Linked DNA regions of Saccharomyces cerevisiae S288C. The gene in region 1 interacts genetically with each later gene. Each region holds a gene or a part of one and is shown on either strand. Other genes may lie near its edges.

The links. A genetic interaction does not mean that the proteins touch.
Region 2: mutations in TRM82 (region 1) and DUS3 are lethal when combined (synthetic lethality), as found in Saccharomyces cerevisiae (one study listed by BioGRID).

The regions. Positions count from the first base shown.
Region 1 is NC_001136.10:783,087-786,705, forward strand, and holds TRM82 (Trm82p), read left to right. Parts: upstream 1-1,784; coding exon 1,785-3,119; downstream 3,120-3,619. Other genes in the region: SEC1 (Sec1p), read right to left, coding at 1-1,129; exocyst subunit SEC5, read right to left, coding at 3,220-3,619. UniProt on the Saccharomyces cerevisiae protein: Required for the formation of N(7)-methylguanine at position 46 (m7G46) in tRNA, a modification required to maintain stability of tRNAs; its absence resulting in tRNA decay.
Region 2 is NC_001144.5:921,942-926,292, forward strand, and holds DUS3 (tRNA dihydrouridine synthase DUS3), read right to left. Parts: upstream 2,508-4,351; coding exon 501-2,507; downstream 1-500. Other genes in the region: zinc-coordinating transcription factor SFP1, read left to right, coding at 3,627-4,351.

The DNA of each region.
Region 1 (3,619 bases):
CATCTACCAGTGTCTTATGCAAAATCAGCCTTCTTCTTTCTTCATCAAAATCTTTCAGGTGCGCTACGACACTCAGCAGATCGGTAGTATTCTTTACGTTCGATCTATCAACCAGCAGAGGGTTTTTAGCAATCAGTTCCTTGATTCTTCCTTGAATATATTCGTTGGCATCCATAATATGCTGATGTTTCAAATCAATCCAGTCAGGATCATACAAATCTACCAATTTTGAAACCTTTTCCTCTTGCTCACCAGCTTCATTCTCGGCAGAATAATGATATATATCTTTTTGTGTGTCCACATTAGCTACCAGGTCATAAGCCATTGCTTGATAGCTAAAATCATGTAATATTGGCGCAAAAGGGTCCAGTGTTCTATCGGTGATTATTAGAATGGAACGCGGTCTTTCAGTGTTTTGAGGAGGGAAATCTGGATTATTGCGAGCGTATGTATCTATCGCTATTTGGAAAGCGTTTGCAATAGACCTTGTTAAAGAATTTGCGTTGACTACGGCGTTTCCATTGCGGGCATCTTCCTCTTCCACAGGATTAGATACAGAATATCTAACAATCGGATATTCCCCCGTAATAACACACAAACTAACTAGTGAGCCTACAATCTTCCTCACGTTAGTAGGAATCAAAGCCTTACAGTTGTTGTTGAAAAAAACCTGTAATGAGTGTTCCATTTGTAAAGTTTCGAAGAATTGAGATTCTTTGACGAAAAACCCTAGTTCGATCGGCTTAAATGACTCCAAATTTTGAGCAATGTAACGTTTTGATTGAAAAAACTGAAATATAGGGTTTGTTAATCCTGGTAAAAATCTGATGTGACATCTTCTGTACTTAGGTGGTCTTACCATGAAGTCAGCATCGATACAATTGATGTTATATTTCGTTGGTTCCAATATGTAAATTGCCTCGATGGAGGATTGTCCTTTTCTTGTTGGGGAATCAATCAAATCAACAGATGTGACATTATTTAAAAGTTCTTGGGGTGTGAGGAAAAGATAACTCAATATTGTCTCCACAGTTTTATCGATAATAAGAAACTTCAAGTTATTTTTCGTCTCAATCTGATTCAAAACCCCTATCAAATAGTTCCTCTGTAATTCAATTAAATCAGACATCGTTCCGCCAAACCAAGCATGTGCACACTCTTCTACTTTGTCAGTGGATTCTAATTATTTTCAAGGTCTTACAAAGCAATGTCTTACTAGTTTCAATAGGGACTTAAACTGATCGTTTAAGCAAAAGAAAAACACCGTGCTGTGTGACCATCTACCAATAATTGCGAGAACATAAGACGACGCCGCCATTCACCTCTCTATCACTTACACCATGTTATAGGGATAAGTGTGTAGTCGATCGGCTATTCGATGATTTTTAAAGAGTGCCTGTAATAATAGCTGTATCGCAAGTAAGGAATACAAGATTACTGATATTTTGATCCAGGAGGATGGACATGTTAGATAGAAAAACTAAGAGGGCTACTACATCCGGTTTAGTATTCTGTTATTGGGAATGCTTTTCCCAAGACGCAAGCAAGAGGTGACACATAAACATAGTTTTCTTATTGTATCGTTACATATTCTTATTTTACGCTGCTGTCATTAAATATGGCACTTATCTCAGATACATTTCTTTTAATCAGCGAAAAAAATGGCGAGGTGAAAAAAATCGATGAGATGAAAAAATTTTTTACTAGTAAAGGCGTATTGATGATATATTAGCAGCTAAAGTATAGCAAGGTTTGTCAATTTGAAGCAGTCCGCGTGTTTTACAATGAGCGTCATTCATCCTTTGCAGAATTTACTCACCTCTCGTGATGGCTCATTAGTTTTCGCCATCATTAAGAATTGTATCTTAAGCTTCAAATATCAATCGCCAAATCATTGGGAATTTGCTGGAAAATGGTCTGATGATTTCGACAAAATTCAAGAATCGAGAAACACCACTGCTAAGGAGCAACAAGGACAATCCAGCGAAAACGAAAACGAGAACAAAAAATTGAAAAGTAATAAAGGCGATTCCATTAAAAGGACAGCAGCCAAGGTACCATCTCCAGGTCTTGGCGCCCCACCGATATATTCGTACATAAGAAATCTGAGATTAACTTCGGATGAATCAAGACTAATTGCGTGCGCAGATTCTGACAAGTCCCTCCTAGTTTTCGATGTCGACAAAACTTCCAAAAATGTCTTAAAGTTGAGAAAAAGGTTCTGCTTCTCAAAGAGACCGAATGCTATTTCTATAGCCGAAGATGATACTACAGTCATAATAGCTGACAAATTTGGTGATGTATATTCTATTGATATTAATTCTATCCCGGAAGAAAAGTTTACTCAAGAACCTATTCTCGGTCATGTCTCTATGTTGACTGATGTACACTTGATTAAAGACTCTGACGGTCATCAATTCATAATTACAAGTGATAGAGATGAGCATATTAAAATTTCGCATTATCCCCAATGTTTCATTGTGGACAAATGGCTCTTTGGTCATAAGCATTTTGTTTCTTCCATATGCTGTGGCAAAGACTATTTATTATTAAGTGCAGGTGGTGACGATAAAATCTTCGCTTGGGATTGGAAAACTGGTAAGAACTTGTCTACCTTCGATTATAATAGTTTGATTAAACCTTATTTGAATGATCAGCATTTAGCACCACCAAGATTTCAAAATGAAAATAATGATATTATTGAATTTGCAGTTAGTAAAATTATAAAGTCAAAGAACCTACCGTTTGTTGCGTTTTTCGTCGAAGCTACAAAATGCATAATAATTCTGGAAATGTCCGAAAAACAAAAAGGGGATCTTGCACTAAAGCAAATTATAACTTTTCCATATAATGTTATCTCATTATCCGCCCATAATGATGAATTCCAAGTCACCCTAGATAATAAGGAATCATCTGGTGTGCAAAAAAATTTTGCCAAATTCATTGAATATAACTTAAATGAGAATAGTTTTGTCGTGAATAATGAAAAATCAAACGAATTTGACAGTGCCATCATACAATCAGTACAAGGGGATTCTAACTTGGTGACCAAGAAAGAAGAAATTTACCCGTTATACAATGTTTCCTCGTTAAGAAAACATGGAGAACATTACTCGTGAAATAAAAAGGTAGTAAGTACATCTTTATAACTAATATAAAAAAAGATACGTACCGATTTGTGTTAATAATCATTGTTAGTACATCTTTATACCTCTGTTTCTAGCTGAAGGCGGCGAATTGAATAGCAGTTCTTTTTAAATTGGCAGATACAATAGGATTAATCTCATTGATACATTTTTGTAGTCTATTTGTGTCGTTCTGGAAACAGTTTTGTAAGCACGCCCTTAATGTGGCCTCGGTGTCCTTTTCAAGTAAAGGACCCATAACCTTCTGAAAGAATTCCAAATCCACTATAATTTGTAATGAGCCATCATTAGAAAGATTACCAACATAAGGCTTAAATGCCTCAAAGAGGTATCTGGCTATAAAAATCTGCGTTTCAATTAAAATCTTATGGATGAGCTGAGGCCCAATTCTAAAGCACTCACTGTGAACCACGATCAGAATCATTAACGCTTCTATAATATAGTCACCAACCCTGAATGAATTTGATGTATAC
Region 2 (4,351 bases), on another chromosome or scaffold:
ACTGCAGCGTAGGAATAAATATGCCAAAAGTGTAAATCCAAGCGCCTGATACAAAGTAGATGTTGAATTGTTTTAAAAGACTTACTCAAGTACCAGGAAGGAGCTATGTGAACGGGATGTAATGAACTTTCCAGACACCCCAGTTTGCGAAATGCCTTTTTTCAGAGGCGACTTGCGAGATTCAAATCACTGCGCGTTTTCTAAATCCACCTGTATTTACCTGCTATTTGAGCCACTCAGGTACAGTTGCATCAGGTTGATAGTTATGTTCATTTGTGTTGCGATGATAACCTGTCCGAACTCGTTAAGATTTTCTCAATACACTTTTCTCCGCTCCTACCTAACCCTTCCCAGCTGTGCTTATTTTGATTTTCTTGGAACCCATACCTCACGTTTGAAATTGACACCCGTACATATTCCAATTCTCGTCTTGCAAAGGAAAAATAACCGCGCTTACCCATCAGATATGATTTATGATACATGTACACTTGATTTTCTATTTAGGAATCTCTGTTTGCATAAGAGCTGCTCTTATGTTTGGGGACAAATACAAAGTTCTCGTCGGTTTTACCGAAAAATAGATCACTTAGCTTGATCCAATCATTAACATCCGTACTACCCATTAGAGTTTCAAGTTCGTCTCTTCCACACCAGTTTGGCGGTCTCTCATTCAACTTCACAGGGTATCTTTCACAAATACCCATGGGGACATACCTATGAAAAAAGGACATGAACTCGCAGAAGAATCTACGACATTGAGAAATGCCGTATTCGTCGGTGCCCCAGTGTTCCATAGAGAACTGCGCATAATCCCTTAAAATGTCTAATCTTTCCGTACTTGTCTTGTCTAGATACTGCTGCGACTCAACCTCTTCAAAAATCCATGGTTTGATCAGGGCCCCTCGAGCAACCATAACACTATCAATATTTTCATTTCCGTTCAAATAGCGGTACCAGTCTTCAAAATTGTTGACATCACCATTTCCGACAAATTGAATTCTGTTCTTGGAATCCCTGCCTTCTTTGCCTTGTTCGGTTTCGATGAAATCCGCTTCGGCGGATCTCAAGGTGTCAGCCACTTGACTCACGTAGTCCCAATCCGCAGACTTAGTGTACCTTTGTTGCCTAGACCTACCGTGTAAGGTAATCGCAGCCACATCAGTTTCGTTAACCAGTCTTTTGACTAACCCTTCCGCGATAGGATGACCTTCCTTTGTACCTGTTCTGATCTTCACCGTGATAGGAATATCTTTCGATACGTAGTTCATCGCGTTTAAACAACGAATCATTCTTGCAGGGTTATCCAGCAGGGCGCTACCAGAACCTTGTCTGTATAGCAAATCGATGGGGCAGCCAGAGTTTAAGTTGATTTCACTTATTTCACTGACGGAGTTTGCGAGTGCTTCTGCAGCCTTTGCCGCCTGCCAGGCTTTAGAACAGGCCACTTGAACCCCGAACCCGGGGAACTCTGATGTGTGAGCTTTAGGTAACGCCCACTCAGAATTAGTTCCTTGAATTAAGGGAACTGCCAAGGCCATTTCCGAATATGTCACATCTGCACCTAACTTTCTCATTAGACGACGGTATGGTAAATTGCCTACGGTTGTCAATGGCGACACGATTTTTTTGTGGTACAAATCCAGTGGCTTTTTTTCTTGAGCAAAATAACGAGTGTCCTTGTACTTCAAGTATACTTCACGCTGTTTCATTCTATGTTCTGACAATTCTTTGTTCCTCTGTTCGACTTGGGGGGCAACTGGTTGTTCCACATCTGGGTCTTGTTTCTTCAGCTGTGGCGTTGACTCAACTTCTTCTTCTGGCTTCATGGAATCTCTACATTCTTGTTGGAAAGAGTCGATGATTTCCAATATTTCATTACTTTTTGTGAAAGGAAATCTTCTTTTTATAAGATCGAGTTTTCTTTCCGGTGAGATATGGTTTACCTCACCTTTAACGGACCATATTGTTTGCGCATCTGGATCAATCTCCTTCTTCGATATTAGGATATTATCTTCTTTATTCAGATGAGACGATAAAAATCTGCATTTGAATCCCATGGGGCAAAATCCCAACGAGTTGAAGACCGGACAGGAAGGAAATATATTACTTTCAACTTCAGGCTTTTTTGTTGAAAGGTACAGATTGATATCGTGAACAAACCTACAGTTATCACCAAAGGAGCATTTAGATATATCGCCATGGATCAAGCGTGGGCACAAGACATTCTGTTCCTTGACCTGCCTGTTATCTCTATTCTTGTTTTGCCCACGCTTCTTACCTCTTCCGTTCTTATTTTTCTTATTAGTCCCACCTGCAAACTCGTTTGTCATTCTGTCGGAAGACATCTCTTCATCATAGATGGCGACCTTCTGGTTTTCATTCTGCTTCAATGGTACAATATATTCTGGTTTGATATGTGCAATACCTTTGGACGGGGAAGTGTCTTGTCTCTTCACGGTTGAGTTGTCGTCGCCAACAATAGAGCGTTTTTCAGCGTTTTGCTCCATCAATAATGTTTAGAAGTTGCCTTTTTTTCCTATTCTGAGTTCATTAATGTTTCATTACTGCTCATCTCATCACTACACATTCGAACTAAATTCTTCATAACTTTAACTAGATCTTATGAAACTTTTCAAAAATGGTGCACGGGCTTTCTGTATATTGAACTTTCCGTCGCTTTTCGGAGCTACAATTCCCCTACCCGGCTTGTCGGCATTAAGTCTCTTCATCCCGTGTACTATTACCCGACAGGTTTCTGCGGCATGTTCTGTGGAACGACGGTACGGGCGGTGACTGGGTGCCAAACAGTGCGGCGTTCCCGTGCGCAAGGTGGTCTGCGGTAGGAAAAAGAAACAAAACGCGCCTACGTCGTGCAAGGGGACAGGATTTTGTCAGTTACATAATAAGGAGCAATTTCGAATCAATTGAAATTTGGAACAAATGGGCGATGCATTCGTTAAAAGGCGATTTTGTATCAAATAACGTCACTATCAGCCATTGTCACTTGCCACTGTCGCCTGCCACCGCTATTGCCATTATCATTTGCTTTCGCATCGTCACCGATTTAAAGCTCTCTAGGCTAACGTACGCATTTTACCTCCCAGGCCCTATCTCTTTTCTACCTGTCATCCCTATATAACGTCTTGTACATTCTAGTGGCTCCGTTAACAAGGTTTGACAAATATTACAATCAAAGAAGGATAGCGCTAGTCAATCTAATCATTAAGTTCGCTTATAAAGAGAAGGAAAGCTAGATTTTTTTTCTACTTCAATTACATATCGGTGCTTCTCTCTGGTGGTTTTCTGTTTTTCTAATATTGATCGATTTTACGGTGAGTTAAACTACTTCCTTTTATCGCAATATCATATTTAGAGCGAGAAAGCAAGAAGAATAAAGCTAGGAGAAAAAAGCGCCACGATACATTCATACTAAGTTTATAATATACCGGTCGTCTTTTGGCTTTCTGATACCATATTATATCCTCGAAACACTTTCTCTGGATTCACCTACTATTAATCACCTCAAGATTTCACTTGTAAGGCGTTTTCAAATTTATTGTTATTAAAAGACATATTCATATTCAGTATTTTTATTTTTCTTCGAAACAGGAAAAGCTTATCTGAGTATGGATTTTACAACAATGACTATGGCAAGCAATATGGCTACTAGTACTACTACGACGGCTACATCGGCACATGCATCTATAAATTCGTCATCAAACTTTAATATTGATATTGATTCGAACCAGAATACTCCTTCCATTTTGATAAATAACAATTCGGATTCTTCTAATGGAAAAAACACAGATTTTAACGGCGTCAATAATATTCACCAAAAAAATATCATGAATAATACAAATAATGTTCATTTGTACTCTCCAAATATAATGGACCAAACGCTACTAACTCCACAGGACATTGCCAAGTTACGGAGAGAATCAATAGCCCATTCTCAAGGGATGGGTGGTGTTTCATGGGGATCCATTAGTGTTGGTTCTTGGTTAAGAGATGAAATTATTAGCCGTAGAAATAGTATTGTACCTGCATCAGCAAACGGTGCTGCCTCCGCTGCCGCTTCTGCAACCACTACTGCCACTAATACTTTGCAGATTCAACAACCAACTAAGAGACCCTCTGTTAGTAATCCGCCTTACCATAGAGGGTATTCTATTTCTCCTCAGATAGCCTACACTGCTTATCTGCCAAATCTAGAAAAGCAATATTGTAAAGATTATTCATGCTGTGGTCTTTCCTTACCAGGTTTGCATGATTTGCTGAGACATTACGAAGAAGCTCATATATCCACGTCTCCTAACACTACCAATATGTCACAAATACCGATGAACTCTGC